Linked DNA regions of Caenorhabditis elegans. The protein of the gene in region 3 purifies or fractionates together with the protein of the main gene of each other region. This does not show direct contact. Each region holds a gene or a part of one and is shown on either strand. Other genes may lie near its edges.

Region 1 (11,464 bases), on a different chromosome or scaffold from region 3:
GAGATATGTATCTGGTCCGATTTAGACGTACTTCCCCGAGACAACACAGACATTCATAGTGATGATCCAAATAAAAGATTGGAACTGTTGGGGGGAAAGGATGGTGGGGGCTACAACCGACACAAGACAATTTGGGATTACAATCAGAAGCTACAAATTCGTTGAATTTCAATTGAAAAAATTGGTTTGAATTTGACAAACTGTTCAGAAGATTAAGCTGTCTATGAATATTTATGTTAAAATAATTTTTAATTCCGTGCCAAAATCTGAAAACTATTTTTAAATTACTCCCCTGGTTTCGATATTTTTTGAATAAAACTTGGTTTACAAGCGTTTTACTGAAAATTTGCCATTTCATGTGCTATAATATTCGTGCTGAAAAAGGTTGAAAAAATTTTTTAATTCAGAAAAAATGAAACAAATTTAATTTTTTAGACGTGTGTCTTAATTAGTACACTTGTGAGTTTATTTACCTCAATTCGCAATGTTACCCAAGATGGCCACATTTTTCAAATTTCGTATGGGCCTCTGCGACAAAAGTGTTTTTATTTTGGGTTTTCAGTTTTCAGTGCAGATGTCACACTCACCAAGTATCTCCGCCGAGTTCAACTCCAAAATTTTTTTTTTGTAAATTCGGCAAGGTATATGCCTGTGAAAAATGAATTGGAAACAAAAACCCCTCTAGCGCGGCCAAAATACAACTTGTAGCTCCAGAAACTTATACATAATCTTTAAAAAAATCTAGAACCCAAATCTATGAAAACATTTCCAAAGTTCCAAAAATTTTTTTTTTGTAAATTCGGCAAGGTATATGCCTGTGAAAAATGAATTGGAAACAAAAACCCCTCTAGCGCGGCCAAAATACAACTTGTAGCTCCAGAAACTTATACATAATCTTTAAAAAAAATCTAGAATCCAAAACTATGAAAATTCTCCCAAAATTTTAAAATTTTTGTGCCACCCTTTTTTCGCAAGTACCTGTTGAAATTGAAATTCGACGGAAAAACCCTTCTAGCGCGGCTGAAACCGAATTTCCAGGTCCAGAAATGAACCCATATTTTTTTTTTGAATTCCTTATCGAATTTCATATCAACTCTAGCAAAATGGCACATTTTTTGTTGTCGGTTTTTTGTACAGTTATAGGTTTCGTAAAAAATAGTCTTCCCGGCAACCAATTCCCAAATATGATATCTCCTTTAAAATCCTTCAATCTCTTCTCTTTTTTGTGTTATTATTATCTATTGGTCTTGACCCTTCTTCTTCTTCTATTCTTCATCTTCCCGTCACAACTTCCAACGTGTCTTCCTCCTCAGCAGCTGTCTCTGCGGTTTCTCAATTCTCTGTACTATTTCTAGAGGGTCTGCTGGCCGTTTCGTCAGGAGGAGGTGGTGGCCTTACTCACTCAATCTGTCCCACTGACCCTTTCTTTTATTCTTCTTTCCCTCCCTACGTTTCTTGCAGTTTTGCAGTTTTTACTGATTGTCAATATTTGGGAGTTTGAATACTTTGTGAGATTTGGGGAAATTTCCAATTTTCAGCGATTTGGTAACTTTGAAATTAGATATAGTTCTGAAATTGCCGTGATTTCTCAATTTTAAAGCGGATTTTTTTTGATTTCTAATAAATATGAATTTAAGTAAATTTTCAGCTTTTTATAGTTTTAGAAAATTCAAAAAAATAGCCAGTTTCAGTTTGGCAACTTCATTTAAAAAGTGTTTGCCATTTTGGTAAATATGCAAGTTTGGCAATTTTTCCTATTTTCTACATTTTTTAAAATTTCATTCCGACAGTTTTGATAGGTGTTTAAATATTTTTGAAATCGCTCAGTTTATTTTTTCAAATTTCAAAAATTTATAATTTCGGTAACTTAGAAATTTTTTCGCCGATTTTTTCAGTTTTATAATTATATAATTTTGGCAACTAGTAAGTTTCGGGGAAAAATGAATTTTGCCAGTTTTTCAGCTATACAGAATTTTGGCAATTTTGAAATTTTTCTGATATTTTCCAATTTTGGCAATTTTTGTGTTTGCCTAGTTTTTCATATTTTAATTACTCACAATTTTGGCAACGACCTTTTTTTTGAAAAATTTGCACTTTAGCGAATTTTTGGCTCTCCTAAGTTTCAGCAAATTTTAAAATTTCCAAATGTATCATATTCGGCAATTTTGACAACAATTTTTGATGATTTGGGCAATTTTACAAATTTCTTTTTTTTTTTTGAGACATTGGCCATATTGGAACGTTGAAAAACTATTAAAAAAACTAGGCACATTTTCGGTTATTCCAAATTTCGAAAAATTAAAAAACTGCTAGCTTTTTCGGCAACCAGAACATTTCCAATTTTCAAAATTCCGGCAATTTGTTACGTTTGGAATGCCGATTTTTTTTGGGATTCCAGCAAATTTATTTAGGTGATCCGATAATTTTTCGTATACTTGGCAACTTCATTTTTTTTCCAAAAAAGGGAAAATGAGAAAATGAAATGTTTTTTTTGAGTCACGCAATTCCGGCTCCACTTGCTATTGTGCTTTTTTCTGTTAAAAACATGCATAACATCCAATTTTTTGGCGCCGGATTTTTTTTTGGAATTCGGAAGTTCACCAACTTGAATATTTTTCCCTATTTTTTTGGCAATTTTTTAAACAAATTCCGGCGATTCTAAAATAGCCCAGTACTTGACATTTCAAATTCAGTTGGAACTACCCAATTATTCCCAACCTGACACCTTTTGTCTTTTTCCTATTCAAACTTTGTGAACCTATATAATTATTTTTTTCCCGCCTGCGTCTCTCTTCCTCTCTGCAAATACTTACGATTCAATAGAATACGTGAATTTCCGAAGACCTTCGCGACGAATCTAGTTCACAGTCGTTTCTTTAGATTTTCCATGGATTTTGATTTATGAAACTTTAGAAGTATTGCAAATTTTTTTTAGGTCGAAAGCTTTTTCTATAAAAACAATATAGCAGCCGACACTTCACTGGGTTAACTTTACAGAAAATACCCGCGAGTTGTCGGCTGCTGTAACTCCCTTTGCAGCAATGATAGCAAGAGATTGGTAAATAGCAAATTGTAGAAAATAAAATTTACAACAATTTGTTAGTTGAAGACATTTTTCTATGTGTAATGCGAAACAAATTATGGCAGCCGACACTTCAATAGGTTTTAGAGCTAGCGAAAACCCCGTGAGACTTCGGCTGCTACAAGTTTTTCAGTTAGACATTCAAAAGTTGTAACTCACAATTTTTTGCGTCTTGCGGGTTTTAACTGAAAAACTGGAAACGGTTCAGAATTCAAAAAAAAAATGTTTTTCGGTTGATGCTTCTAAAACGTTTTTCGTGATAAAAATTGAAAAAAAGCGAATTCAAAAATTAACTTTTAGCAGCCGACATTTTATGGGCTTGAGTTATATTTCTCTAACCCTAAACACCAAAGAACCTATATATCTCACACTTTCACTATCATCAAGTCAACGTCAGTTTTACTCATTTCTGCGTCTCGTTTTCTTATTTCTTTCGCATCTAATTGTTGTAAGTCTACGTGGAGAAACCAGCCTTATATAGCTGAACCAACTTCCTCTTTTGCAATTTTTTCCTTTCTTTGTGTTTTATGCCAGAACTTTGAAATCACAAAAGTTATTGTTAATTTAATATTTAAGCTACCTGAAATTTCCTATATTTGGTCAATTAACAATTTTTTAGCAGCTAGTTCAAGAAGTAAGTTAAAGCAGACGACATCTAGCGGGTCAGAATTTTGGAAGCTGTGAGATGTCGGCCGCTATATGCTTCTTGAGGAAAACTGGTGTGGTAGCCGACACCTTGCGGGATTTGATCCCCGGGGTTTCCGGATCTGTAAGATGTAGGCTGCCACAACTTTTTTAAACTGACAAAGTTAAGAAATCAAAATTTCCTTTTTTCCGGTAAGCACTGTCTTTTGGCTATTTTAGGCAGCCGACATCTTGCGGGTCTTGCTCAGTTTTGATTTTTTTTTTTCGAACCCATGAGATGTCCGCCGCTATAATTTTCTCTGGCGTTTGTGTCAAATCTTTATTGTAAACTTTATCCGCTTCCCGTTTTGCAGGTTTTTAATTCCCTAACTCTCAATTTTTCAGAATGCGCCTGGCACTCCTTGTACTAGCCACAATCGGCTATGCAGTTGCCGATCTGTTCACCTCGATTGCCGACATGCAAAACCTTCTGGAAACTGAAAGAAATATTCCGAAAATCCTTGACAAATACATTCACGACGAGGAAGAGCGACTGGTTCAGCTGAAGAAGCTGTCGGAGGAGTACTCGAAGAAAAATGAGATTTCGATTGAAAATGGGCTCAAGGATATTACGAATCCGATCAATGCGTTTTTATTGATCAAGAGAAAGGTAATTTTGTTTGCAATAGGTTTTAAGTTATTGCAGCCGACATCTCACTGGCCGTTTTTTCAGCCCGTAAGGCGTCGGCTGCTATGACTTGTTTTTAACGCTAGAAAAAAGTAGTCAACTATGATAGCAAAGTATAGGAAATTTCATTTACTTAATTTTGTTAGTTGACGATTTTTCACTCAGTCCCGTAGTTTTACTGTTATTACAGCCGCCATCTTACTGGCTGCACTTTTTAGAAATCCGTGAGATGCCGGCTGCTATAACTTTTTTCCCATACATTTTAGAAAAAAGTTGTCAACTGACAAAATATAGAAAATTTCATTTACTTAAATTTGTTAGTTGACAATTTTTCACTCAGACCCGTAGTTTTCCAGTTATTGCACCCGACATCTCACTGGCCGTTTTTTTTCAGCCCGTAAGGCGTCGGCTGCTATGACTTGTTTTTAACGCTAGAAAAAAGTAGTCAACTATGATAGCAAAGTATAGGAAATTTCATTTACTTAATTTTGTTAGTTGACGATTTTTCACTCAGTCCCGTAGTTTTACTGTTATTACAGCCGCCATCTTACTGGCTGCACTTTTTAGAAATCCGTGAGATGCCGGCTGCTATAACTTTTTTCCCATACATTTTAGAAAAAAGTTGTCAACTGACAAAATATAGAAAATTTCATTTACTTAAATTTGTTAGTTGACAATTTTTCACTCAGACCCGTAGTTTTCCAGTTATTGCACCCGACATCTCACTGGCCGTTTTTTTTCAGCCCGTAAGGCGTCGGCTGCTATGACTTGTTTTTAACGCTAGAAAAAAGTAGTCAACTATGATAGCAAAGTATAGGAAATTTCATTTACTTAATTTTGTTAGTTGACGATTTTTCACTCAGTCCCGTAGTTTTACTGTTATTACAGCCGCCATCTTACTGGCTGCACTTTTTAGAAATCCGTGAGATGCCGGCTGCTATAACTTTTTTCCCATACATTTTAGAAAAAAGTTGTCAACTGACAAAATATAGAAAATTTCATTTACTTAAATTTGTTAGTTGACAATTTTTCACTCAGACCCGTAGTTTTCCAGTTATTGCACCCGACATCTCACTGGCCGTTTTTTTCAGCCCGTAAGGCGTCGGCTGCTATAACTCTTTCAAATGCGTTTTAGAAAAAAGTTGTCAACTGACAAAATGTTGGTAATTGACAACTGTTTTACCAGTTCAAAGTTAAAAAAGTTAGAGCAGCCGACATCTCCCAGGCCACGTTTTTTGAAAACCCGAACATATCGGCTGCCTTAATTTTTCTCTAATTTTTATTAGAGAACGTTGTTGACTAAGTAATAGTAAGTTTAGTTGAAATCTTTTCAAAATTTTGGCTGCTCCCAACTATTGGTAAAGCCTCCAGTTTCTGTGTTATTGCAGCTGACATCTCACTGGCCGCACTTTTTTTGAAAATCCGTGAGATGTCGGATGCTATAACTGTCATAACTTTTTTCTCAAACGCTCCAGTTACAGAAAATTTTCTACAACTTTACAGTTTACAACTTTTGTCTATCTCAATTTCTAAATGGCCTATAACCCCACAAATCTTCAGATCTTTGACTGGAAGGAGATCGAGTCGAAAATGAACGCAAATAAGGCTGGAAACGTGGTCTCTTCAATCACAGATGACAGTTATGGAGTACGGTACCCAACAGCCGATGACTTGAGTGGAGCAGCTATTGGGCTCCTCCGTCTTCAAGACACTTACCGCCTCGACACCAAGGATCTTGCCGATGGAAAGATTTACGCGGATCAGGGAAATTACACATTTTCCGGTAAGCTTAAAGTAATACAAACTTTAAGTTTATCTTTAATTTTAGCAAAGGACTGTTTTGAAATTGCCCGTGCTGCTTACAATGAGCACGACTTCTACCACACTGTGATGTGGATGGAGGAGGCGCAGAGAAGACTCGGCGACGAGGTGGAGCCAACTGTGGAGGTGGAAGATGTGAGTTATCTTGGCTGGAGAGGAAGATAGAAAAATATTTACAACTAGTGAATTGTGCAGAATTAAATTTACATTATTTTTTAGTTTATAACTTTTTTATAGCTTGTTTCTTAGTGGAGTTATAAAGAGTTTTAGCAAAAAAATTTGAATTTTAAAATAAAGCACGCATATCTCTGCAATGAAAGATTTTATCAAAAGGTTGTCAATTGTTAAAATGTGTAAAATAAAATTTTCTACAATTTGTTAATTAACAACTTTTTGCTAAACTTGCGTCGAAGCAAGTTATGGCAGCCGACACCTTGCGGGTCCAGAAGCAATCCAAAACCGGAAGATGTCGGCTGCAACATAACTTTAATCCTAGTTTAGCTGCGGGAGAGATGTTAACTAATAAAGTGTAAAACAACTTTTTTTAATTGCTTTGAAGCAAGTTATGGCAGCCGACGCTTTACGGGGCAATCTGTCGGCTGCTGTAGACTTCGAAGGCGGATAACTCTGCGGGTATTGAATTTATCAAAAAGTTTTCAACTAACAAATTATAAAAAAATTAAGTTTTAGATACTTTAATAGTTGAAATATTTTTGATATCTTTAATAGCGGCGGAGAAACAAGCGTAAATCGCCAAAAAGCTATGAGAAAGTAGCCGAAATTTTAAATGCAACTTTTTTCACCAAAAAATTTAATTTCCAGATTCTCGAATACCTGGCGTTTGCACTGTACAAGCAGAACAACTTGAAGCACGCTCTAAAGCTTACAGAGGAGCTCTACAAAATGAGTAAGTTTTTGAGACCGCGAGATGTCGGCTGCTACTCAGCTATTGTAAAATCTAAATCTTCCAGACCCAACTCACCCACGCGCCAAAGGAAATGTCAAATGGTACGAGGACCTTCTCGAGCAAGAAGGCGTCCGTAGAAGTGACATGCGCAAGAACCTCCCACCAATCCAAAACCGCCGTCCCGACTCTGTCCTAGGAAACACTGAACGAACAATGTACGAGGCTCTGTGCAGAAATGAGGTTCCAGTGTCCCAGAAGGACATCTCCCGTCTCTACTGCTACTACAAGCGGGACCGTCCGTTCCTTGTCTACGCTCCGATTAAGGTGGAAATTAAGAGATTCAACCCACTAGCCGTGCTCTTCAAGGACGTGATCTCCGACGATGAGGTGGCCGCGATTCAGGAGCTCGCGAAGCCAAAACTCGCAAGAGCCACAGTCCACGACTCGGTGACCGGAAAGCTTGTCACAGCGACTTACCGTATCTCTAAAAGCGCGTGGCTTAAGGAGTGGGAGGGTGATGTTGTGGAGACCGTTAACAAGCGAATCGGATATATGACAAATTTGGAGATGGAGACCGCTGAGGAGCTGCAGATTGCGAATTATGGAATCGGAGGACATTATGACCCGCATTTCGATCATGCCAAGAAGGAGGAGTCGAAGAGTTTTGAGAGCTTGGGAACTGGAAATCGTATTGCCACTGTGTTGTTCTATGTGAGTTATATTAAAATGCAAAAACCCGTCAAGTGTCGGCTGCCAGCTAACAGCCCGCAAAGTGTCAGCTGTTGCCTTATAACTCGCAAAACGTCGGCTGCTAATTAGATGCCAGTATTTTGTCGGCTACCATATAGTCCCGGCAAAGTGTCAGCTGCTAGGTAGATCGCTGAACTTGTCCGGCACTAGCGCACGCGACAGCGAGGGATCCATTTTTGCCGGCTGCTAACTAACCCCGCAAAGTGTCAGCTGCTAGCTAACGACCCGCGCAGTGTCGGCATCTAGGAGCCTGTAGCTTGTTGGTTGCCACTCAGAACCCGCGAAGTGTTGACTGCTAGCTAACAACCCGCAAAGTGTCGGCTGTTATCTAAATCCACAAAGTGTCTGATGCTAGCTAACAAGCCGCTTAGTGTTGGCTGCTAGCTAACAAAACGCAAAGTGTCTGCTGCTAGCTAACAACCCGCAAAGTGTCAGCTGCTAGCTAACGACCCGCGCAGTGTCGGCATCTAGGAGCCTGTAGCTTGTTGGTTGCCACTCAGAACCCGCGAAGTGTTGACTGCTAGCTAACAACCCGCAAAGTGTCGGCTGTTATCTAAACCCACAAAGTGTCTGATGCTAGCTAACAAGCCGCTTAGTGTTGGCTGCTAGCTAACAAAACGCAAAGTGTCTGCTGCTAGCTAACAACCCGCAAAGTGTCGGCTGCCGACTCAAAATCAACCTATTATTGTTTCAGATGAGCCAACCATCTCACGGAGGAGGTACCGTCTTCACTGAGGCCAAGTCTACAATTCTGCCCACCAAGAATGATGCTCTCTTCTGGTATAACTTGTACAAACAAGGAGACGGAAACCCAGACACCCGTCACGCCGCCTGTCCCGTTCTTGTCGGAATCAAATGGGTTAGTTTTTTGTTTCTGGTGGGAGCCCGCGAAATGTCGGTCGCTTCTTATATCGGTATTTGCGTACTTTCGCAGCTACAGTAACCCACAAAAACACCTCTAGGACCACAATTTCATGAGGAATTCGAATTTTAACTTGTTTTTCCAGGTATCCAACAAATGGATCCACGAGAAGGGCAACGAGTTCCGTCGTCCATGCGGCTTGAAATCCTCAGACTACGAAAGATTCGTCGGCGACCTCGGATACGGCCCAGAGCCAAGAAATGCTCCAAACGTGTCCCCAAATCTTGCCAAAGACGTCTGGGAGACCCTCTAAGCATTGGTTTTCATTGTTTTCTGTTTTTTTTCTTTGTGCCGCATAATTTATCCCCACACACTACCGGGTGGTTTCTTACATGTTTTCTCTTTTTTCTCTTGTTGCCTTCGATGAAGTTGTCTGCCTTTTTCTTTGCCGTGAATAAATTATTTTTTACTTTTTAATTATGTTATTTGAAAGCAGCCGACAATTCCCTAGTGGATCCTGTGAAGTGATGGCTGCAAGCCTGTAAAGCGTCGTATGCAGAATAGAAACCTGTAAGAGGTCGGCTGCAAACCTATTAAGTGTCGGCTGCTGAGTAAAACCCCGTATAGCGTCGGCTGCAAAATAAAAAACCGTAAGAGGTCGGCTGCCAACCTTTTAAGCGTCGGCTGCTGAGTGAGAGCATGTATCGTATCGGCTACAAAACTGTTTAGTGTCGGCTGCTAGATAGGAATCCGTAACGTGTCGGCTGTCAACCTATTAAGCGTCCGCTGCTGAATAAAAACCCTTGAGATGTCCGCTGCCAACCTGTTAAGTGTCGGCTGCTAGATAGCAACCCGTAAGGTGTCGGCTGCACACACACTGGATATTATTGATTTTCCGAAAACTTCCGAATTTTTCTTCTCCTGCTTACCTTTTTCCGTAGTTTTATCATTTTCTCATCATCACTTTTTCGCATTGACAGACCGCCAAAAACGTTTTATTATGTTTGTTTGCTCTTTTTCTTATCAGTGCTTAAATATTATGAAACATCTTTATATGAAACTCCTTTTTTTGGCATTCTCGTTTTCGAAAAAATTGAATTCCAACTCGTTTTAAGCAAAATTTTGAAATTTTGGCTTAGATTTTTTGGCAGCTTGTATCTTTGCATGAATGCTAGAATAATTTTGTCAACTGATAAATTGTAGAAAATTTCATTTGCTATATTTTGTTAGTTAACAATTTTTTAGTAACTGTTGTGGTTGGCAAGTTGCAACCGTGTAAAGTTGTAGTACATAAGCGTCACTGGTTATTTGCTACAAATGCTTGTATCTTTGTAGGAATGAGAGATATCAAAAAGTTGTCAACTAGGGAAATGTAGATAAGAAATTTTTCTACAAATTGTATGTTGCAATTTTTTTTTCTAGCTTTAAGGATTAGCGAGATATGTGCTTTCAAAAAGTTAAGGTTTAAAAAAATTTTATTTTGAAATTTTGAAATTTTGCAATTCCTATTGCGAAATTTCTGTTGATCGTTTAGTTTTTTTTTAACTTATAGTTAATCTAGTTTTTTACAGTACAGTGAACTATGAGAGAAGTAATCTCAATCCACGTGGGGCAGGCGGGAGTTCAAATCGGAAACGCTTGCTGGGAGCTTTACTGCTTGGAGCACGGAATTCTCCCAGATGGGACATCGATGGAGCCCGACGGGAACTCCGGCTCTCTGGGCACTTTTTTCTCGGACACTGGATACGGTAGACACGTGCCACGCTCGATTTTTGTGGATTTGGAGCCAACTGTTGTCGGTATGCAATTTTTCTTTACCCTTCATTCATGTAACCCCCACTCTTCAAGTATACACTTACTGAGCGCCGGCGGTGATGCACGCGTGGCCGAGTGGCAGTGTGTTTGCCTGCCACTCTGAAGGTCACTGGTTCAAAACCAATGAAGACACAAACCCATGTCCTGAAGATATCCGTGCTAGCATGATTAGTCTTTCCGAGGTTTTTTGTTGAAATTTTCCCCTAATTTTTCAATTTCCAGACGAAATCCGCACGGGAGCCTATAAAAAGTTGTTCCACCCAGAGCAAATGCTCACTGGCAAAGAGGACGCCGCAAATAACTACGCCCGTGGCCACTATACAGTGGGTAAAGAGATCATCGACACTACTCTGGACAGAATCAGAAGACTCGCGAATAACTGCGAAGGATTACAAGGATTCTTTGTGTTCCATTCATTTGGTGGAGGTACTGGCAGTGGATTTACCTCTATGCTTATGGAGAGACTCTCCGCGGAGTACGGCAAAAAGAGCAAGCTCGAATTTTCGATCTACCCGGCTCCACAGGTTAAACTATTTTAATTTAAAAATTGAATATCAATTTAAATTTTTTTTTTTAGATCTCCACCTCTGTCGTAGAGCCCTATAACTCAATTCTGACAACTCACACCACTTTGGAGCACTCAGATTGCTCATTTATGGTTGATAACGAGGCGATTTATGATATCTGCCGGAGGAATTTGCGGGTCTCGCGGCCAACGTACAATAATTTGAATCGAATTATTTCTCAGGTTTGGAGGGGATTCAAATTTTTTTGTTTTAGTTGAAAAAATTTTGCTGAGACGCCTTCGAAAAGTCAGCTTTTTAAAACGTTTGAAAAATACAGTAATCCTACCGTACTCCAACAGTTCTCCTACAGTACCACTACAGTAATCCTAAAGTACCCCTACAGTATCAT
Region 2 (11,257 bases), on a different chromosome or scaffold from region 3:
GGGGAACTGCAAGAATTATACACACGTGGCTGACAATAATTGAAAACTGCAAAACTTGAAAAAAAAATATAACCAACTGTCTCTTTTTATCGATAAATTCCTTTGTTGAAAAAGGATTTTTGCGCTCTCGAATTCCGAATTTGGTGAGTTGTCGGAGTTATGTCTATTTGGTTGATCATCGTAATAGGTTTCAGCCGCCACGTTTCCAAATCCTGATTTTTTTAAAATCAAATAATTTTAAATGGTATAACTCGGATTGTAAGGTAATTTTTTCTGACAGATTTCATCTACCTAAATAATTGTCACCTGCTTTCCTACAACTTCATAGTTGATAATTTTTATTTCTCAAGCTACATTTGTTTTTCTGTTCTACTTACCATTCAGTTGTAGTTGTCGAACTTTTTCAAGCGCAATTTGCTGTTCTGTTCTTTGATTGGCTTTTACTTCAGCTGAAAATTTTAAATATTTCACATTTTGGTATAAGTAAGGTATATAATTTTTTCTTGTTGCCAGATATAGATTTGAGTAGGTAAATTTTTTTAAAAGTTTCATGTATAAATTTTAAATTGCTCCAAATTGCTCCAAATTTATTTGACTTACGTGGAAAGAAATCAAACACATCATCGTCGGGATTGCTGTAAAATTTCAGAATTTTAATATTTGTTATTTTAAGAAATTACCTATAAAACCAGAAGCAAACACCTGAAATTCCGAGAAAAGTGATAAGTAACAAAAATATATGAACACTTCGTTTGTTTCGTCGATCGATCATCATGTTTGGAGTAGTGGAAAAAGGGAAACCAGGATGAGAAAAATCAGGAAAATTGAATGAATTTCGGGATGAGTGAGAACATTTGGGGAGAAAAGAAACAAAAGCAGGTAAGAAGGAGATGTAATCTCAATTTGACACACTAGGGAAGGTACTACGTGGATTTTTGTTTTGTTAATTTTTAATTCTAGGCTTTAAAATTAAGTGAGTTGAAAACTATCTCATTTTCAAATTTCTTATTGAGTTCGAGTCTTTATTTTTTTAAGTTGCGAATAAAAGTTTTCAAAATAAATAAATAATTTTTCGACAGCACTTATTTTCGGGACTGTGAAATCATTTAATTTTTGCTCACAATCAGAGGAAGGCACAAAAATATTAGTTTTTCTCAAGACCTTTGCCTGCCTCGCGCCTACAAGCTTGCCTAAATCTTCTGGCAAGCACAAAGGCGTTACGATGTACCTGAAAACTTCACACTTATTCGGTTGTGCTGCCTTCCTTTTTTATTACTTTCTGTCTATAGTTTTCATCTTTATTTTACCTACATCTACTTCCTCTTGGCACTTCCCTTTTTCTGTCCTCTCCTCAATTTCTCATGTTTCACAACGAAACAAAATTCATTAGATTTGGATGCCTTTCTGCCCATCAAGCGAGAAAGAAAACCTGTTTAGCTGACCAGTTCCGTTTTTTTTAGATTTCTTTTGCCAATTCTATCATATCAATATGCTGATGAAGGAAATTGAAAAAGTAATTCAAATCTCTCCTGTTTTGGAAAATGGTTGGTACTTTAGCTGCCTACCTGAAAGGTTAAGATTGGGCTAGGCGCGTAGGTATAGGCTGCCTCATTGGCAGGCAGTACCAACTACGTAGGTTTGCCTAAGTCTAGATCTAAATCATTTTGAAGACTATTAAATGTTAGACTTCTTCCTATTTATTTTGTTCGCCCTGTTTTCAACGATGGAAAAATGAATTTCCAATATTTTTAATTTCAGAAACCGTATCAGTTGTAAAACAATTAATAGTTTTCTTCCGGTAATACCGGTCTCTGTCTCCTTTTCCAAATATCCTTTCATCCATCACATCCTCAGAAAGTTTTTCAATCCGCTTCTCCTCCTCCCAGTTGCCTAGTGCTTCTGGTCTTTCTCTTTCACCATCTGGCACCCGCTGATCGAGTGGTGGCGTCTCCTCATCCTCTTTCTTATTCACAAACATTACTACCAAACTGCAGCATCACAGTCACGTAGGCATCGGAATATGCACGTCGACTGCGCATCTGACACGTAGAAGTTGGAAATAAAGGAGGAAGAGAGAGACTGTGCGACAGGGTGTAAACCGTCTCGGCTTCTTCTCACGTCTGCGCCCCCATCTTATATAAAGATCTACACACTTCAGCGGCTTCGCGCCTTTTCAGCTTCCGTTTTTGGTTTTTCAGTCCGAAAAGTTGCCTTTTTTTAAGTCAAAAAGTGGCAAATCGCCAGTTATTCCTATATATATTTTCAGAAGATATCCAAAAATGTTTATTCAACAAATTTCTAACTATTCTTACACAGCTTTTATTGCATTCAAATGTCACAGTGATTTGAAAATGCAACATTTCTTCAATATTTCCAAATGTGTCGAAATTTTTATTTTAGAAATTTGGAAGTTTTCAATTGACTCATTTAATATTAGGTTAGGAAGTGTACCAAACCAAAACTTTGACTGAAACCTTTCAAAAATCGTAGAGGTGATTCAGAAAAGTTTTTAATTGTTTTATTGTGATTTTCGGTGATGTTGGACCATTACAAGTAAATTTATGCTTTTGCTAGCACACTGAAATTGTCAGGAAATTTACCGAAATTCATTTAACATTTATTTAATTTTTTCAAGACCTGAATTATCGTTTTGGAAGTGGAGCAACAAACTCCGTCTAAATCAAGATTAACTTTTGTTTTAATCAATTTAATAAATTTAATAAATAGCAAAGATCTATGAAAATATATCAAAGCTTTAGACTATAGTCTATAGCTGAAAACGCTGAAAATCAAGTTTTATCTGATTCTTTTTTTTTTCAAATTCTATGATTATTAAAGAATTTCATCATAATTTTTCTACTTTTAGCTTTTTATCTGACTTTGCAATACATGTATTGGTTAAGAAAACTCAAAACTTTGAATTCCCCCTAATTAATTTAATTAAATTGAAAACTAATTAATACCCAATTTCCTCATCAATCTCCAATTATCCTCACCTTCCCATTTTCATTCTTTTCATTTCCACGTCATCCATAAATCTTGCGCGATTCAACCTAGTTATTGGTATTGTTAATGGAGGTCAATCATCCACTGGATCGAGAAGACACCGTCCGTTCCTACGTGCAAAATCTAATTGAGAGATCGGAAACGCAGGCAATCAGGAAGTTTCTTCTTCTTCGAGAATCGCGCGACGCGGCGAAAAGACTTCCACATCACCTTAGACGGTCTGATTGCTTTTCTCTGTTTTTTTTAGCGAATCCGCTATTAATCTTGACATATATTCCAAAGTTTGAAGGTTTTATATTCTTTAGGAATGTGTACATTCTGTATTTTTAGTTAAAATCAAACTTGAAAATGTAAAAATTAAAAATCGAATGTCAGTGTATCATTTAACTTTTTTAGTCCAGGTTTTGAAATTTATAGTTCTAAAAATTCTAAGAAACCTCATTTTATCTGAAATCATCATGCTGTAAACAAGGGTTATCAATCTGTCTTGCTGTTGAAAATAATATTATTTATTCGCATTTTATCTAGTATATTTTTACCATTTTCTATTCTCTATTAACCATATTTACAGAATTTTAATAAGGCATAACCAAGTGAAATGTTTCCAAAAATCAGATGACCATACAGTTTTGGAACACTATGAACCTAAAAATTGAATAATTTTTTTAAAGTTTTGTATAAAAAGCTTGAAACGCATTTTGAACACATACATTTTCCACAAAAAAATACTGAGTTCATCTATATCTCTGTAGTGGTAATCTATAAAAGATTGAGATCTAAGGTGACCTCAGATATCCTTTTATATTTATTTGGTCTTTGAGGCACTAATCAAAACTGGAAGAGATAGTTTTTTGCGGTTTCATCTAGATTTATTCCTTCATATTTTAGAACTCTTGGAATTAAATTATTCTGAAAAAAAAAACCATTTTTTGAAGCTCCAGAGATAAGGAAAAAAGGATCACACAATAAATCACGTAGGCCTTTATGTAGGTACATACTTGTCTACCTGCCTACAAGGCGACGGACGTGCCTACTGGCAAAATGGGAATGAACTTTTCCCATATAGACAGGCGGTGTCTGGCCTAACTCTATCCTGCCTCCAGACAAGGTTGACAGGTGAATGCTAAACTCTATTATTCTTTGTCTATTCTTCTTTTTCATAAATATATTCATATAAATGTGTCACACAATGCAACTTTTGTTTATAAACTTCAACATCCGTTCCACGTACACCTCCCTCTTCATCATCATCCCCCCTCAAATTGTAAAAATATACAAAAAGTGCTGGTGCAGACGGCTGCTCTCTACACTTCTCATCTGCTGTGTTCATCTTTTTCTCGTAGTCTCTCACTCTCTCGCCACCGATTTTGACCTCGAACATGTCAGTTGTGCACTGATTTTGACCCCCTATTTCTCACGTTCTACAGCTTTTCAAATTTCGGAAACAAATCGATTTGTCTTTCAGAATGAGAGCAGTTTTGCTAGTCTGCCTTTTGGCAGGACTTGCTCATGCAGATTTGTTCACTGCAATTGCTGATTTGCAGGTGAGTAGTTAATCTATGATTATGTAATTAAGTTAGAGATTTCAGCATATGCTGGGAGCAGAGAAGGATGTAACAACAATCATCGACCAATATATCGAAGCAGAGAGAGCCAGGCTGGATGACTTGAGGAGGTGAGTACTGTAGAACTGCAAAATTGAGTAGGTTCCAGGGATAGAATGCCGTTTAGTAACCGAATTGTAGATTATAACAAAATTTCCAATTCTCAGAATCTAGAATTAAAATTTTCTGATTTTCATGTGTTGGGAGAAAATAAAGTTATGTTTCTTCAACAGATGAAAACATTTGCTACAGTAAAAATTAGTTTTTTGCTGATTGTTGAGTTTTTGATTCAAAATTGATTGAACTCCATATTTATCAAATGTCCCCTCTGGTAGGTTCGAAATATAGGTTTTTTTTTAAATTTTTGATAAAAAGTCTTCCACGTGGGCACATCTTACGCCTGTCTATTGCCTACACGATTACCGATTGACAAAGTACACAAAATCTATTGAACTTTTAACAAGTTATTTTTGATTAGACAGTCCGCAAGGGCCACCAAAACGCCACAAAAAATTCTTAAATTTCTAAATTGTACACACACCAAGAATAAAAATGTTCGCCAATACCAAGAAATACGTGATATCATGAAAGTCTCACTTTAACAAAAACTAAACATTTTCGGACATCAAGGTGACTCAAATAAACAAATCATTTTACAGATACGCTCACGAATACGTGCACCGAAACGCTCACGCCGAATCAGTTGGTCCAGAATTTGTGACGAACCCAATCAATGCTTATCTTCTCATCAAAAGATTAACAACCGAATGGAAGAAAGTCGAAAATATAATGTTGAATAACAAAGCTTCAACTTTCCTCAAGAACATCACTGATAACCGAGTTCGTAGTGAGGTCAAATTCCCAGGAGAAGAGGATTTGAGTGGAGCAGCAACTGCTCTTCTGAGACTCCAGGATACTTACAGTCTTGATACTCTTGATTTGTCAAATGGTATTATTGGAGGAGAAAAGGTTTCTAATAAGCTTTCTGGACATGATACTTTTGAAGTTGGAAGATCTGCATATAACCAGAAGGATTATTATCATTGCTTGATGTGGATGCAGGTTGCGTTGGTTAAGGTAAGCCTGGTTTAGAAAATACGGCTTTCAAGCCGAACCTAAAACCAAAAAATATGAGCACTTAAACGCGTAGGCAGGCACGCAGGAAGCGAAAAGCATTTTCAACTCCATTTATTCGTATAAAAAGTAAGTTTTTTGCTGCTTGAGATTTGTAATTATGCACCACTACGAGAACTATCATATTAACGGTGGTTTCTTTGTACTTACTCAATTTTTTGATTGATGATCTATCGTACCTTAAGCTGGACTTTTTCCATAGCAAAATTCCAACAACAAATCCTAATCAAACATTTTCCAGATCGAAAACGAGAACCCACCAACAATTGAGGAATGGGAAATTCTCGAGTATCTTGCATATTCTCTTTACCAACAAGGAAATGTTCGTCGTGCACTTTCTCTCACCAAACGACTCGCAAAAATTGCTCCAAATCACCCGAGAGCCAAAGGAAATGTGAAATGGTATGAGGACATGCTTCAAGGAAAGGATATGGTTGGAGATTTGCCACCAATTGTTAACAAGGTTTTTTGCTTAGTATTTTATAATTTAAATTTTTGTTTGCAGAGAGTTGAGTACGATGGAATTGTTGAGAGAGATGCATATGAAGCTTTGTGTCGGGGAGAGATTCCACCAGTTGAGCCAAAATGGAAGAACAAGCTGAGATGTTATCTGAAGAGAGACAAGCCATTCCTGAAGCTTGCTCCAATCAAGGTCGAGATTCTTAGATTCGATCCATTGGCTGTTCTTTTCAAGAATGTCATTCATGATTCTGAAATCGAGGTTATCAAGGAGTTGGCTTCTCCAAAGGTGCGAAAATTAGATTATTCGATAGTTAAGTTAGAAATAAAGTACGGTGAATGGGGATTTTGTTTTAAAATACAAAAAGAAACTGAAATTCCAAAATACCACCAAAATATGGCAAAAATCGAGAAATTGCTAGATTTCAAATGTGACTAATATTTTCATTCGAATTCCAAACATCATCCAAAATGAGAACCCCCTTGAAAAATAATGTTGTTCAAATATCGATTTTTGTGTGGTATTTCTGAAATTCTGACTATTTTGGGTATTTTAGTACAATCTTCCCACTCACGCAACTATACCTTTCAGTACAATACTGAAACTAGAAATTGTATAATTTTAAGCTAGAACGTGCTACAGTAAAGGATTCTGATGGTAGCCTGGTTACTGTAGACTATCGAATTGCCAAGAGGTGAAAGGTATTAAACGTTTAACTGTACAGTAACATGCTGTGAACTTAGAAAATTAGATATTTGACTTACTGATTTCTTTTTCAACTTCTATTCTTTCTCCTTTGTTGCCTGAAGTGTGTTATTTTTTAGCTGAAGCGAGCAACTGTCCAAAATTCGAAAACTGGCGAGCTGGAACATGCCACGTACCGTATCTCAAAAAGGTTTGTGCTTAAGTTTTTTGGAACGGTTTTGTTTGATTTATTTTGAGTTGAAAGATTAACTAAATCAAGTTGATTATCAAATTTCTTGAATCAAAAATGTTTCAGTGCTTGGTTGAAGGGAGATTTGGATCCAGTTATTGATAGAGTCAACAGAAGAATTGAAGATTTCACCAATTTGAACCAGGCTACTTCAGAGGAGCTTCAGGTAAGCAAGAGCCCTGCAACATGGCTAAGGCCTTTAAGAAGGCACATAAATGCCTGCGTACCTGCCTCATGCCTTTATGATAGGCGTTAGATAGGCAGGCAGGCAGGTACGTGCTTGCCGACTTTGTGTTGAAACGGAAATGCGCACTATAGTTATATATTTTCCTTGTGAAATCCTCTCGGGCAATGAATTTACATTATTTTTTCGAAAGTTGCCAGTTTCTCGTAATTTTGAGAAAATGTAAAATGGGGATTAAATTATTTCATAGACTTTCTTGATAAACTTTTAATTTTCAAAGACAAAACTCGAAGAATTCTTGAAATTCTAAAAATCGAAAAATCGTTTAAAATTTCCATTTTTAGATATTTTCGTTTTTTTACAAAAAATTGAAAATTCCTTGTGTCCATTTTTGAGTTTTCTAGGCTAGTCACATCAGCAAAAAGGTCTAAAATGCCTTCAATGCCTACAGCCTAGAATATAGGCATTAGAGGATTCCCCAAGTTTTACTAAAAATATTAATTAAAGTTTATAATATTTTCAACAAAATTGTTGCTGTTTCAGGTAGCTAACTACGGTCTTGGAGGTCACTACGACCCACATTTCGACTTTGCCCGGGTAATAACAATTTTCAATTCTTTTTTATAATTTCAGATTGCAAATTACGGTCTCGGTGGTCACTATGAACCACATTACGACATGTCACTGGTTGGTTTACTGCCTTCCTGCTGACTTGTCTTGCTGCTAATTTTCAGAGAAAAACTGCCGAATCGTACGGTGGAAATGGTAATCGTATTGCCACTGTGTTATTCTATGTGAGTTTTCGATTCAATTTTAATTTTCCGTATTTTATAGAAAGAAGAGAAGAATGCATTCAAGACGCTCAATACTGGAAACCGAATTGCGACTGTTTTATTCTATGTGAGACATGTTTCATTTATAATTAATGGTTAATAAGATTCCATCACGAACTTTTTATTTGCATGAAAATTCTTTAGCTGTTATTGCATGAGGTGTGCTAATCCAAAAGTATGTGATGGAATCTTAACGTTTGAACTTTTAAATTTGTGATTTTAGCGCGTGGGAGCTGTGAGAAAACGGAAAATTTTTAAGGGGTCTTAAAATTTTACTGTTGATATTTAAAAATGAGGTTTTATAGTTTTTTGGCTCTATCGAACAATTTTTATTATTTAATCTAATAATTATCTTCTTTTTATGATTGTTTAGCTGAAACTGATGTATTTTCTAATGCCTACTTCTGGAAATTCGATAAATTCGAAACTGAAAATAACAATATCAAAATTTACTTTAAACTCAAAGAGCAAAAATCGTTCAAAATATAGTCAAACATTCACTCTCAAGATTTTGATTTTTTTGAAATTTTCAAACTTATTGGGTTCATAATTTTTACAAATAAATAGATGAAAAAATAGTAATATTTGAAAAGTTTACAAACTGATGTTTATATCCTTTTGGTACTGACCTAAATTACGAGAAAAGTGTGTGTGACGTCACATTTTACAGACGCGAAAACCCGACAGTTACTGTAGATCAAACACATTGTCAGATAACTAGAACGAACCCTCTGTTTCTCCTTGAACCAAACAATTTTTTTCAGATGAGTCAACCAGAACGCGGAGGAGCAACCGTCTTCAATCATCTTGGAACTGCTGTATTCCCATCGAAAAATGATGCTCTCTTCTGGTATAATCTTAGAGTAAGTGTTCATTTCTATTTTTCCTCGCAATTTGGAAATATTTCAGAGAGATGGAGAAGGAGATCTTCGTACCCGTCATGCTGCTTGTCCAGTTCTTCTAGGAGTTAAATGGGTCTCAAATAAATGGATTCACGAGAAAGGACAAGAATTCACAAGACCATGTGGATTGGAGGAGGAAGTTCAGGAGAACTTTATTGGAGATTTGTCCCCATATGCCAATGATCCATAGATTTGATTTTTTACTCTCTTTTTTGTTTTTTTTTTTAATTTCATTGTTGCTTACTGGTGTTTCACGGTTCCAATATTTTATTTGATCGCCAAAAAATGAAAGTGTTCTGGTTTTAAAGAATGAGTTTTTGATATTCTGAAATCTAAATTCAAAGCTGTTTATGCCTGCTTCATGCCTGCCTACATCAAACCTACATCAAACCAAGATTATAGTCATGTCTACTTCATGACTATAATCTTGCCTATCTATGTTCCTACCTATTCAAAATATAGTCCAACATTTAAAAATCCTGTGAAAAAATCACGGTTGTGGCTTGGATTAAAAATGATTCGATTCAAATCAGCATAAATATCTCCCTACGTGCCTGCCTGCCAACAACTCTAACAAACATGTAATTGTACCTGATACATACAGTTTTTCCTTGCCATACTTTATTAAGTTAATCAAAAATTATTTCAAAATTATATGGACAAATTAAATATTATTAACTTTAAAAAGACTTTTAATTTTATTATTTTCCTTATTTTCTTCTTCACTTCCTTGCAACGCACTCTTTAAGTCATTCTGGAAATTTGTTTTGTTGAACTCGATCTCGAATTTAAGCAGTTCAATCATTTCGTTTTTCTGAAATTATAGTTTTAAAATTTAATTCCATGTAAGAAATCCGAACCTCTTTAATAATCTTTCTGGCTTGTACCAAATCATCAACCAACTCATTTGCATCTTCCTCCGCAAATTCCAATGATTCCAGTTTTTGGCTCAATTCCTTTATCACCTCGTTTCGCTCTTTCAGTTTTCTCTGAAGTCCACCAATTTTTGCCACAAAATCTCTTTGATGCATTCGAATTTTGATTAAATGATTGCTGATTTTACTTCTCTCTATTTTCATCTCCTTCTGGTGCTCTTTAATCATTTCCTCACTAGACTCGCACATTAATTTTAGTTGGTAATGAGCCTGCAAACGTTGTATATAAAAAAGAATGTCAAGATGCCTGCCTACATGCCTGCCTACCACCTAGCTCTATACATTTTGGCATGCATTCAGGAATTTAGTGAACCTCTAGAAAGTAAAACTGGGAAAATTTCCAAAGAAAATTTAGTTAATTTTCACCAAATTTTCGAAAGTTTTTTTTTTTAAAGTCAAACATTTTCCAATAAAATATTTCGCATTTTTTTCAAAAAAAACACATTTTCCCAAAAAAAATTCGATCCGTTCTACTGTCTATTTTAAAATTTAATAAATCTTCTCAGCTTTAAACACCTCTTAATTTTTTATGAGGGGCTCCAATAAATAGCTTGAGGGGAACACGATTATTGGAATTTACTTTTGAAATTGAGAAATTTTCAGACTCTCGAGAATTTCATTGATAATGCTAATAAAATATTCAAAAATATAAAAAAAAACAACAAAATTTACCTTTGCCTTTTCCTCAACTATTTGCAACATTAACAGAGCTACAGTAACCGCGTACAGTAACCCGAATAGAATCGGGAAATTATCCATTGAAAGTGTCATATTCCCGTCTTGAAAGATATTAGTTAACCACGACATTATAAAATAAAAAGATTGTCTTATAAGATAAGTAACAAACGAATGAATGAGCCGGTCGTCTTAGTCAACGGGTCAAGTGTTTCAGCCGCGTTCGTGAATCAATAAGAGCTGGAATTGCCTCCTGGCATTAGTGACTGTAGTCCACACTTTCTACTGCCTAAATTATCCATACAGGGCAATGTGATCAATTGATCAATAGGTTATTAAATATAACTATTTTATGCAGTGCAGTGTTTCATCCTTTTGGGAAAATTCACGGAATCAACAGGTGAATTTATGTTTTTTAGGGTGTGAACACAAATTGTTAATGTTATAATTGTCCTGGAGAGCCTTTAAACATTTTACAATTAATATATTATAAATAATACGTAGAAAATCAGTATTTGAACAGGAAAGTAGACATTTTAAAAATTTGAAATTTGAAAAACCGCCACAAACTCAAGCAACGACACTCCGAG
Region 3 (7,263 bases):
CATTTGTCCAGAATGTTTCAAAGTGAGAGAACTGAGCCACTGAAATATCATTGAGATCCTCTAAGAACATCGACTTTGCATGCTTCCATTGGTCCATAGCAACGAATTGTTCCAACTGTTCTTGGTTGAAATTCGTATTTTTTATTCTGATATGATTCAGATGTTCAAAACTTAGGAGTCCAATGTACTCCAATATTTTCTCTCCGGTCGTGACAAAACTGATATAAAAACTTGATGTTCTGATTTTCCATTTGGGATCAAGAGTCTTAATTTGACTAAACAATGTTTGATTCAAAAGTTGCATTCTTTCAGGATTGATTCCTTCAGCGTATTGCAGAACTAAATTGTCGAGAAAAGAGTTTTCATGGGCAAGGAGTAGAAGAATATCCATAACAACCAGATCCAAATCACCATGCACAATTCTATCTATTTCCTTTTTGACAGGATATTCACCAGCTTTCTCCGTATATTCAGTCCGTAAAATGTTATTCTCTTTTGGGTCAAAATTGAAATATTCAATCTTCATGCGTTCCAATTGCAAAGTGATCGAACGATTATAAACTGACATTGACAGCCATTTGCTTCGAATAGGAACAATGTCTACAAGGTTCTTATCTTTCCGTGAGCATTTCCGTAGTTGACATCTGAAATTTTTTATACATATATTTAGGTCCTTGCGTATTATAACCCCATATTTTCAAGTTTTAGATAAAAACGTCAGGAGTATTTTCAAATTCAGATAGTTAGGCTTAGGAAATATAAATTTTACGTGTGAAAAAAGTTTAATTATTGTAAATAGAAATCAGTTATTATATTTATTTATCTTTTTGATTTATCAACTTTCATTGTAATATTAAATGGCTGACGTTAAACATTTTTATTAAGCTATTAAAAAAACTTAACTCATCAAGAATAAAACATTGATATGCGCAAGGAAATCATTACCTGGTCTTATAATCCAAAATTTCAATAACACCTTTTCTAAATTGCAGGGGAAGATTGTGCCACGCAGAATGTGACGTCATCTGAAAAATTTATTTGAAACTTCAAATTTTCACAAAAAATATAATACAACATCAACAAAGCAAGAAACTAGAAAAATGAAACAATAGACCTTTTGAGAACAAATCGATGCACCTAGTTTAGAATTTACGTTTGAACACATTTTCCATAGAGAATTTGTTTAAATAGGCGTTTCCAATTATGCACAAACATGACGATAAGACTGCAATAAAACGTTGACAAGTTTCAAAATCAAATATCAAAAGTTCAGAAAAATTGAAACTTCAACAAAAACTATTGAATTTGTGAAAAAAAGTGTTATTCTATGTACGTTTAATGGCGAAATGCAACCAGATATTGTTTTTTTTTAAATAAACAATGAATGACCTGCGAATTTTATTGACAAACTCGAGAAATAAAATATTGTTAGAATTTATATAAAAAGAGAGAGACATATCACTATTTATTAAGTGCCGTATAATACGTCAAAGATGCTTTTAGTTTAATCAAAAAGTATACAAATTTTCTTTGAATCTATGTATGTTTCTTTCAATATTCGAAACCTAAATTATTTGTAAAATTCAATAGTTAAGTTTTTATAAGTTTGTTCTTTAGCTACACAATTCCTGAATGTTTTGCTACAATTTTCTTGGCGACTGTTTCTTTATTTTTTCTAAATATTATCTGGAAAAAAGATAGTTCCTTGTTTTTTTAAGCACATTCTATAGATAATCAATAGATTTGGTCAATTAGTCGTGAAATGTGCTGGGATGGACGCAAAAGAGCGTCACTGTGTTTGCACACATCGGGACTAACATGTGTGGATGTTGCAGAGATTTTGCATAATTTAGGCCCATTTTTCCAATTTTTTAAGAAAAGAGGCTCTAAAAACGTTAAGATAACACTAAATATTACTTCACTTGACAATTATTTCCAACTAGATCTAATACAGCAGCAAATATAAAGTCGAAGAATTGGGCTGAAACAGATTGCAGACATTCCTGGCCGGAAAATCGATAAATGACTTGAAACCCGTAAGTTTTTCATTATTGCCGAAACAATTTTCCGTTTTTTGGTTGAATAGCTTTAAGTTTGAATTGACGACATGTATTTTTTTGGAAAAAAAAACCAACTAAATCTTTGCTACCTGTCGCTGTCGCAAAACCTTATCGTTGCTGCAGACTGCATTTCCAGTGCGAACTGAATACATGCTGTGATAAGAATTAAAAAAAAAAAAAATGTATTAGTTGCCTATGTGACACCTGTATCAAAAAAATAGGTCAAAACTTTCAACAAAAAACAATTTAGTGCTCGGCCTCTTCTTCACTCTTGAACTTGTTATATTGCTCCTCAGTTAATAGTTCGTTGAGCTGTTCGTTGCTGGTAATTTCAAGTCTGTAAAGCCAACCCTTCTCCAGTGGGCTTTTGTTGATAATTCCCGGCTCATCTTCAAGTTTCGTATTTTTTTCCAAAATCTTCCCACTCACTGGAGCGTAAATGTCAGAAGCTGCCTGGAAGTAAAGGCTTATGTTAGAGGTAGACATAGTAAGTAATGAAAATAATGAAATATTTTTCTAATTAACAAAAGTACATTCTTACTTCAGCTATATCTAGACTGATGATTATTCATGTCAGATAAACTTCATATATCAAAAAGAAGTTAATGAGTCAACCAAATGACTAGTGGAGATTTCATACGTTAATTAGTCATTTTTGTTTTTCCGAGCTTCGCGAATCATAATTGCATAGTAAGATACCTATTATTGAATGTGTATACGTCAATGATTTCCAATTTTTAAAACCTTGAATTATATAAGGAGCACGCAAAAAATAGGTGGACTTTTCATATTTTTTCATATAATTTTATTTTAGGAGGAAACAATTTTTAAGTCTTACCTTGACACTCTCCACCGCTCCTGTAGAATCTCCCTTCTCAATTTCCACACCAGCCTCCGGGAGCTCAATAAATACCACATCTCCCAGCTGTTCCTGAACAACAGGGCTCTTATTTTTTAACTTTAAAAATTAAGGACAAACCGTAGCAAAATCAGTGATTCCGACGGTTCCAACAGATTGATTTACCACGATCCATTCGTGTTTTTTAGTGTAGAGCCTTCCATTAGATGCAAATCGAATAGCGGTGCGTGCAGTTACTGTTGGGATGAAGCGGCTCAGGAAACTCATTTCTTAAATTGAAAAAAAAAATCAATAAAAACATTTTAAAACTGAAAAGATGCTATCGAAAATTAAGTATTTGTCTAGGTTCAATGACAACGCTGCACTCTGTTGCAGTTGAATAAAATGGCAACGCGAAGACAGTCCTTGCAAAAAGATAATAAAACAAGAGAAGAACTACAAATGAGATAAGATGATTGAGGCGTGATTGTTGTACTTTTTTCGGCGATTAGAAATAAGATGGGGCGACCTGAGTGCAAAAAACCAAAAAGTTTTATAGAATATGTTAACATTTTGTTGTTTTCATGTCTCGACGTTGTAGGGCAATCGCAGTAACAAAAATGGAAAGTTTTCAAAAATTATTGTTTGGTCTAAAATTTTTTAGCGGTTTTTCGACGAATTGCCAATTTGTGCAAAAATTGACTTTTCGAAAATGAGTAATCAGGTAATTTGCCTGTGGTGAAATGTGGAAGAAATGTGAACTCACAAGCAAGTCCACCGCAGGACCATATACATCCCCTATGCTGCCGACGCTACGCGGTACCTCGCGCCACTATAGCTGTGTGCAACAGAGAAGGGCGATGGCGGCGGGAGCGTGAGGCGTGGTGTGAGGCGGACGGGCAAGAGTAGCGCCCCTTGTTATTTTTGTTGTGGCTATCTCATCGAAGGAAGGGCAGGAGCCTTGTCTACAAGGTAGATCAAAAATAAATTATGAGAAAAATTTGCGATCGTATTTTTTTGATAATACGTTGCAGCTGTACCCCAAAATGTTTTCATTCTTCCGAAAAAAAAAACGCGACTTTTTGTTGTATTTCAGTCTTAGGAAAAATAATTTCAAAGTCTAAAAAATAATATAAAAACTTGAATATTTAATTTTTTGGAATCATTAGCGTGATGCTAAACGATTATCCCACTACCAGTTCTGCAACTATGTTCTTTTTCAAAATAATTAATTAAATTTGGCTCCAACCATCTTTGAAAAATTGATTCCCATATCTTAATCCTTTACTCGTTTTTAGAAGCAGAGAACTAAAAGAGCAAGTCAATGTCATGAAATCCAAACGGGATTAGTTCTCACTAATCCGCTCCCAGCTCCCTTTTTCTTCGTCCAAATCTAATCGATAGTCTTCCACCACATTACACATTTCTGCACTATTTCTCTTTGTCAGTCTGCATCTTATCTTCCATCTTTCTTGCATTCTCCCATTGGATTTTTGTTTTTTATACGGTTTTTTCTTGTTTTTATTTTATTTTTTTATTCTTCATCCCTAAAAATTTTATAGAAGAAATTGAAGCTTTTGACTAGGCCAACCAAATTCAATCTTCCCACTCTCATGACGTCCTCGTAGTGCCATGGAAACAATCGCATGCGTTTTCTTCTTTGCTCTGTTTATCTCTCGCCTTTTGTTCTAGAATTATGCTCTGCTTTCTGACATCTATGAGAGCGAGTATTGATTTGAGCTTTTGGAATTATTAAGATTTGAAAATTTGGAAAAAAATGGTTAAAACTTTTAAGCTGCTTTCTCAGAGCTCTTATCAGCTCTGCAATGCTCAACTATTTGCACTTATCGACCAAAATAATTCAAACTAATTGAAAAGAGAATCAATTTTCAATCATCCCTCATTTGGACAATCTGTCTGTCAATATGCCTATCTCTTATCGGTTCTCATTTGACATTCTTCTTACCTCTATTGATTTTTTTCTTTTTGCAAATGTTTCACTATTGTTTGCATTTTGTTCTTTAATCTTGTTTCTCTGATTATCCATAAGAAAACCTTCAACATTTTGATTTGCAGGGCGTCAATTACAGCCATCATGAGCAAGAAGCGAGGACTGGACCAAATGGAGCCGCAAGTAAGTGGTGACGACGAAAGTTTGGAAATGGCGAAAAAAGTGAGTATTTGTTTGAAAAGTTATAGGAAATTTCTTTCGGATGGTATCAGTTTGAATATTAGATATGATGATATGTATAGATATATCAAAAACTGTTTATGAAAATATTTTGCATTTGCAAAACTTGTTGTTTTTGAGAAAAATACACTTAAGGTAAAGGTAAAGGTTGTTCGTTTGTTTCAAAGGTAAGGCAAAATCTCCTACGGAGAAGAGATTTGTTAGGGTTACTGGTAGCGTTTATATCGCTTCTAGTCTAAATTTAAGCCGCACCAGGACAAGCGGTATGGCCGATTTACCTTTCGTGAAACAAATTCACTACCCACTTTCCGAAGCTGGGTGAGCTTTTGGGGTGAGGTGGGATTGAACTTGCGACCTCTTGAGTGACAGTGCTACACCACTACCACTTAGCCACCCGTGCCCCACCAATCTTTCCAATAAAAACAACAACTTTTAGGTGAAACTCGACAGCGCACAAACCAGCAGCTTCAGCTCACAAAGCAAAATGAAGGAGCCAGAAGTACCTGAGCGTGAGCCCAGTACGCCAAATAATTCTCGTTCAAATTGGAGGTCAGACATGGATGAAGAACTAACTGACGATGTAAGAAGTAGCCTGAAAATGATTTTTTTTGTAACTTTGACCATTTCAGGAAGATACTCCTACTCCGGAAGTAATTGATGTGAGCTCTGATGAGTCAATGGCTGATGTGATGGAAGGTGAGCACTTGACAAAAAATTGTTGGAAGGAAACATATTTCTCTAACAATGAAAATTTATTGAAATTTTTGAAATGCCACTTGTGGGGATTTTAATCTAAAATTTTCCTTTTTCCTGATAATGCATAACAAAGAAAAAACAAAAAAAAAATGGTTGAGTTAGAAAAAATGCGAGTATAAAACTCAAAAACTGTGAATTTAATGTGGCTCAATTCGGATTATTTTGAGTTTTTTACATCAGGTTTCCCCGAACTCAACTATTTCCGCGTTTTTAAAATTATTTTACATAGGCCTTCCACGAAGGCGGGGCGTGAATAGTGTACACCACGTCCGCCCGAAACCGCTCTGTGTACTGCGGCCGACGCTGCGCAGGTCCGCGCGTCGCTATAGCTGCGTGACTACGAAAAATGTCAGCGAAGCTATGGTGTGGAGCGTGTGGGGCGTGGTGTGGTGCAGGCGAGAGTACCGCCCTCGTGGAAGACTTATATAGTTGTGCATTTTCTGGGTCATAAAGACGGTCTCTGATTTAGAAAAAACCATAACAAGTCAGAATCAAAAATTAAATATTAAAAGTGTACTGTGATTTGCCAATAAGTTTATCAAAGTTCTTGAAACTATTAAACAATTCTGAAAAAAAAAATGTATTTCATGCTTTTGTTGCAGAAATCAACCAAGAAGTGGAAGAAGAAGAAGAAGGCGAAGCAGAAGAAGGCCAAGAAGAAGTAGTAGAAGAAGTAGAAGAAGATGAGGAAGAAGTTGAAGAAATTAAAGAAAAAGTTGAAGAAGTGAGAGAAGTAACTCCGCCAAAAGACTTGATCAACGGAATGCCAAAGTATATGAAGATTTTTGACAAAGTCAAGCTTACCCCAAAAGACATAGAGCCCCTACGGCTTAGATATTATGGCTGGCTGGAGCTAGCAGACATTCCGTTTGATAATGCTCACATCGGAAGCAGTTACTATCCTCGAGAAGTATTCACCTTAGCAGCTGAACTTGTTCAGAAAAGGAAAATGTTGCACATTGCGGAGCATGAAATGATGAACATGAGCGGGACAAAAGGTGTCAAACTAACTGAAAAAATGCTTGCCTTTCTCACTTTTTTGCTTGTAAGAATCAAAGTTCCGTCTGTCGGCAAGGAACATTTCGAGAAGGCCGGCTGGTTTTTGGAACACCTTGCTCCTGATGATGTGGCAAATGTGCTGCTGGACATCATCAAGGATTACTTCTCCCATGTCGATCTGTTCATGCAAGGCAAGAAAACCAAAGAACCATTGTGGGATTTGTCGGAGGAGTTCTACGATCACATGTTCGAGTCGAATCCAACTCTTCACACCGATTGCCTCCTTTTCTTGATTTCTCTGAAGGAGTATATGGAGCCAGAACCAGAAGAAGAAGAAGAAGAGTAGCTCTGAGGTTTTTATCTTTCGAATATACTGCTTCATAAGACTTTCAGTAGTGTACAACTAAGAACACCTTACA

Evidence for each region.
Region 1: the proteins of gcsh-1 (region 3) and dpy-18 fractionate together in Caenorhabditis elegans (co-fractionation; one large-scale study listed by BioGRID). This does not show direct contact.
Region 2: the proteins of gcsh-1 (region 3) and phy-2 fractionate together in Caenorhabditis elegans (co-fractionation; one large-scale study listed by BioGRID). This does not show direct contact.

What each region holds. Positions count from the first base shown.
Region 1 is NC_003281.10:11,370,628-11,382,091, reverse strand, and holds dpy-18 (Prolyl 4-hydroxylase subunit alpha-1), read left to right. Parts: upstream 1-4,111; 5' UTR 4,112-4,112; coding exon 4,113-4,376; intron 4,377-5,954; coding exon 5,955-6,177; intron 6,178-6,222; coding exon 6,223-6,350; intron 6,351-7,037; coding exon 7,038-7,122; intron 7,123-7,186; coding exon 7,187-7,833; intron 7,834-8,566; coding exon 8,567-8,731; intron 8,732-8,879; coding exon 8,880-9,047; 3' UTR 9,048-9,206; downstream 9,207-11,464. Other genes in the region: tba-7 (Tubulin alpha chain), read left to right, coding at 10,317-10,533, 10,772-11,073, 11,127-11,297. UniProt on the Caenorhabditis elegans protein: Catalyzes the post-translational formation of 4-hydroxyproline in -Xaa-Pro-Gly- sequences in collagens and other proteins.
Region 2 is NC_003282.8:12,209,202-12,220,458, reverse strand, and holds phy-2 (Prolyl 4-hydroxylase subunit alpha-2), read left to right. Parts: upstream 1-4,471; 5' UTR 4,472-4,472; coding exon 4,473-4,550; intron 4,551-4,595; coding exon 4,596-4,681; intron 4,682-5,269; coding exon 5,270-5,687; intron 5,688-5,985; coding exon 5,986-6,207; intron 6,208-6,249; coding exon 6,250-6,492; intron 6,493-6,778; exon of another isoform or gene 6,779-6,799; intron 6,800-7,028; coding exon 7,029-7,099; intron 7,100-7,204; coding exon 7,205-7,304; intron 7,305-7,865; coding exon 7,866-7,919; intron 7,920-8,156; coding exon 8,157-8,222; intron 8,223-8,919; coding exon 8,920-9,018; intron 9,019-9,064; coding exon 9,065-9,247; 3' UTR 9,248-9,362; downstream 9,363-11,257. Other genes in the region: F35G2.5 (Conjugative transposon protein TraM), read right to left, coding at 1-6, 78-212, 378-449, 601-635, 681-775; F35G2.3 (uncharacterized protein), read right to left, coding at 9,722-9,871, 9,918-10,202, 10,665-10,751. UniProt on the Caenorhabditis elegans protein: Catalyzes the post-translational formation of 4-hydroxyproline in -Xaa-Pro-Gly- sequences in collagens and other proteins.
Region 3 is NC_003284.9:14,511,886-14,519,148, forward strand, and holds gcsh-1 (Glycine cleavage system H protein), read right to left. Parts: upstream 3,189-7,263; 5' UTR 3,187-3,188; coding exon 3,040-3,186; intron 2,992-3,039; coding exon 2,899-2,991; intron 2,514-2,898; coding exon 2,307-2,513; 3' UTR 2,245-2,306; downstream 1-2,244. Other genes in the region: fbxa-141 (DUF38 domain-containing protein), read right to left, coding at 1-644, 946-1,025; D1025.10 (SCD domain-containing protein), read left to right, coding at 4,994-5,071, 5,526-5,669, 5,719-5,785, 6,448-7,190.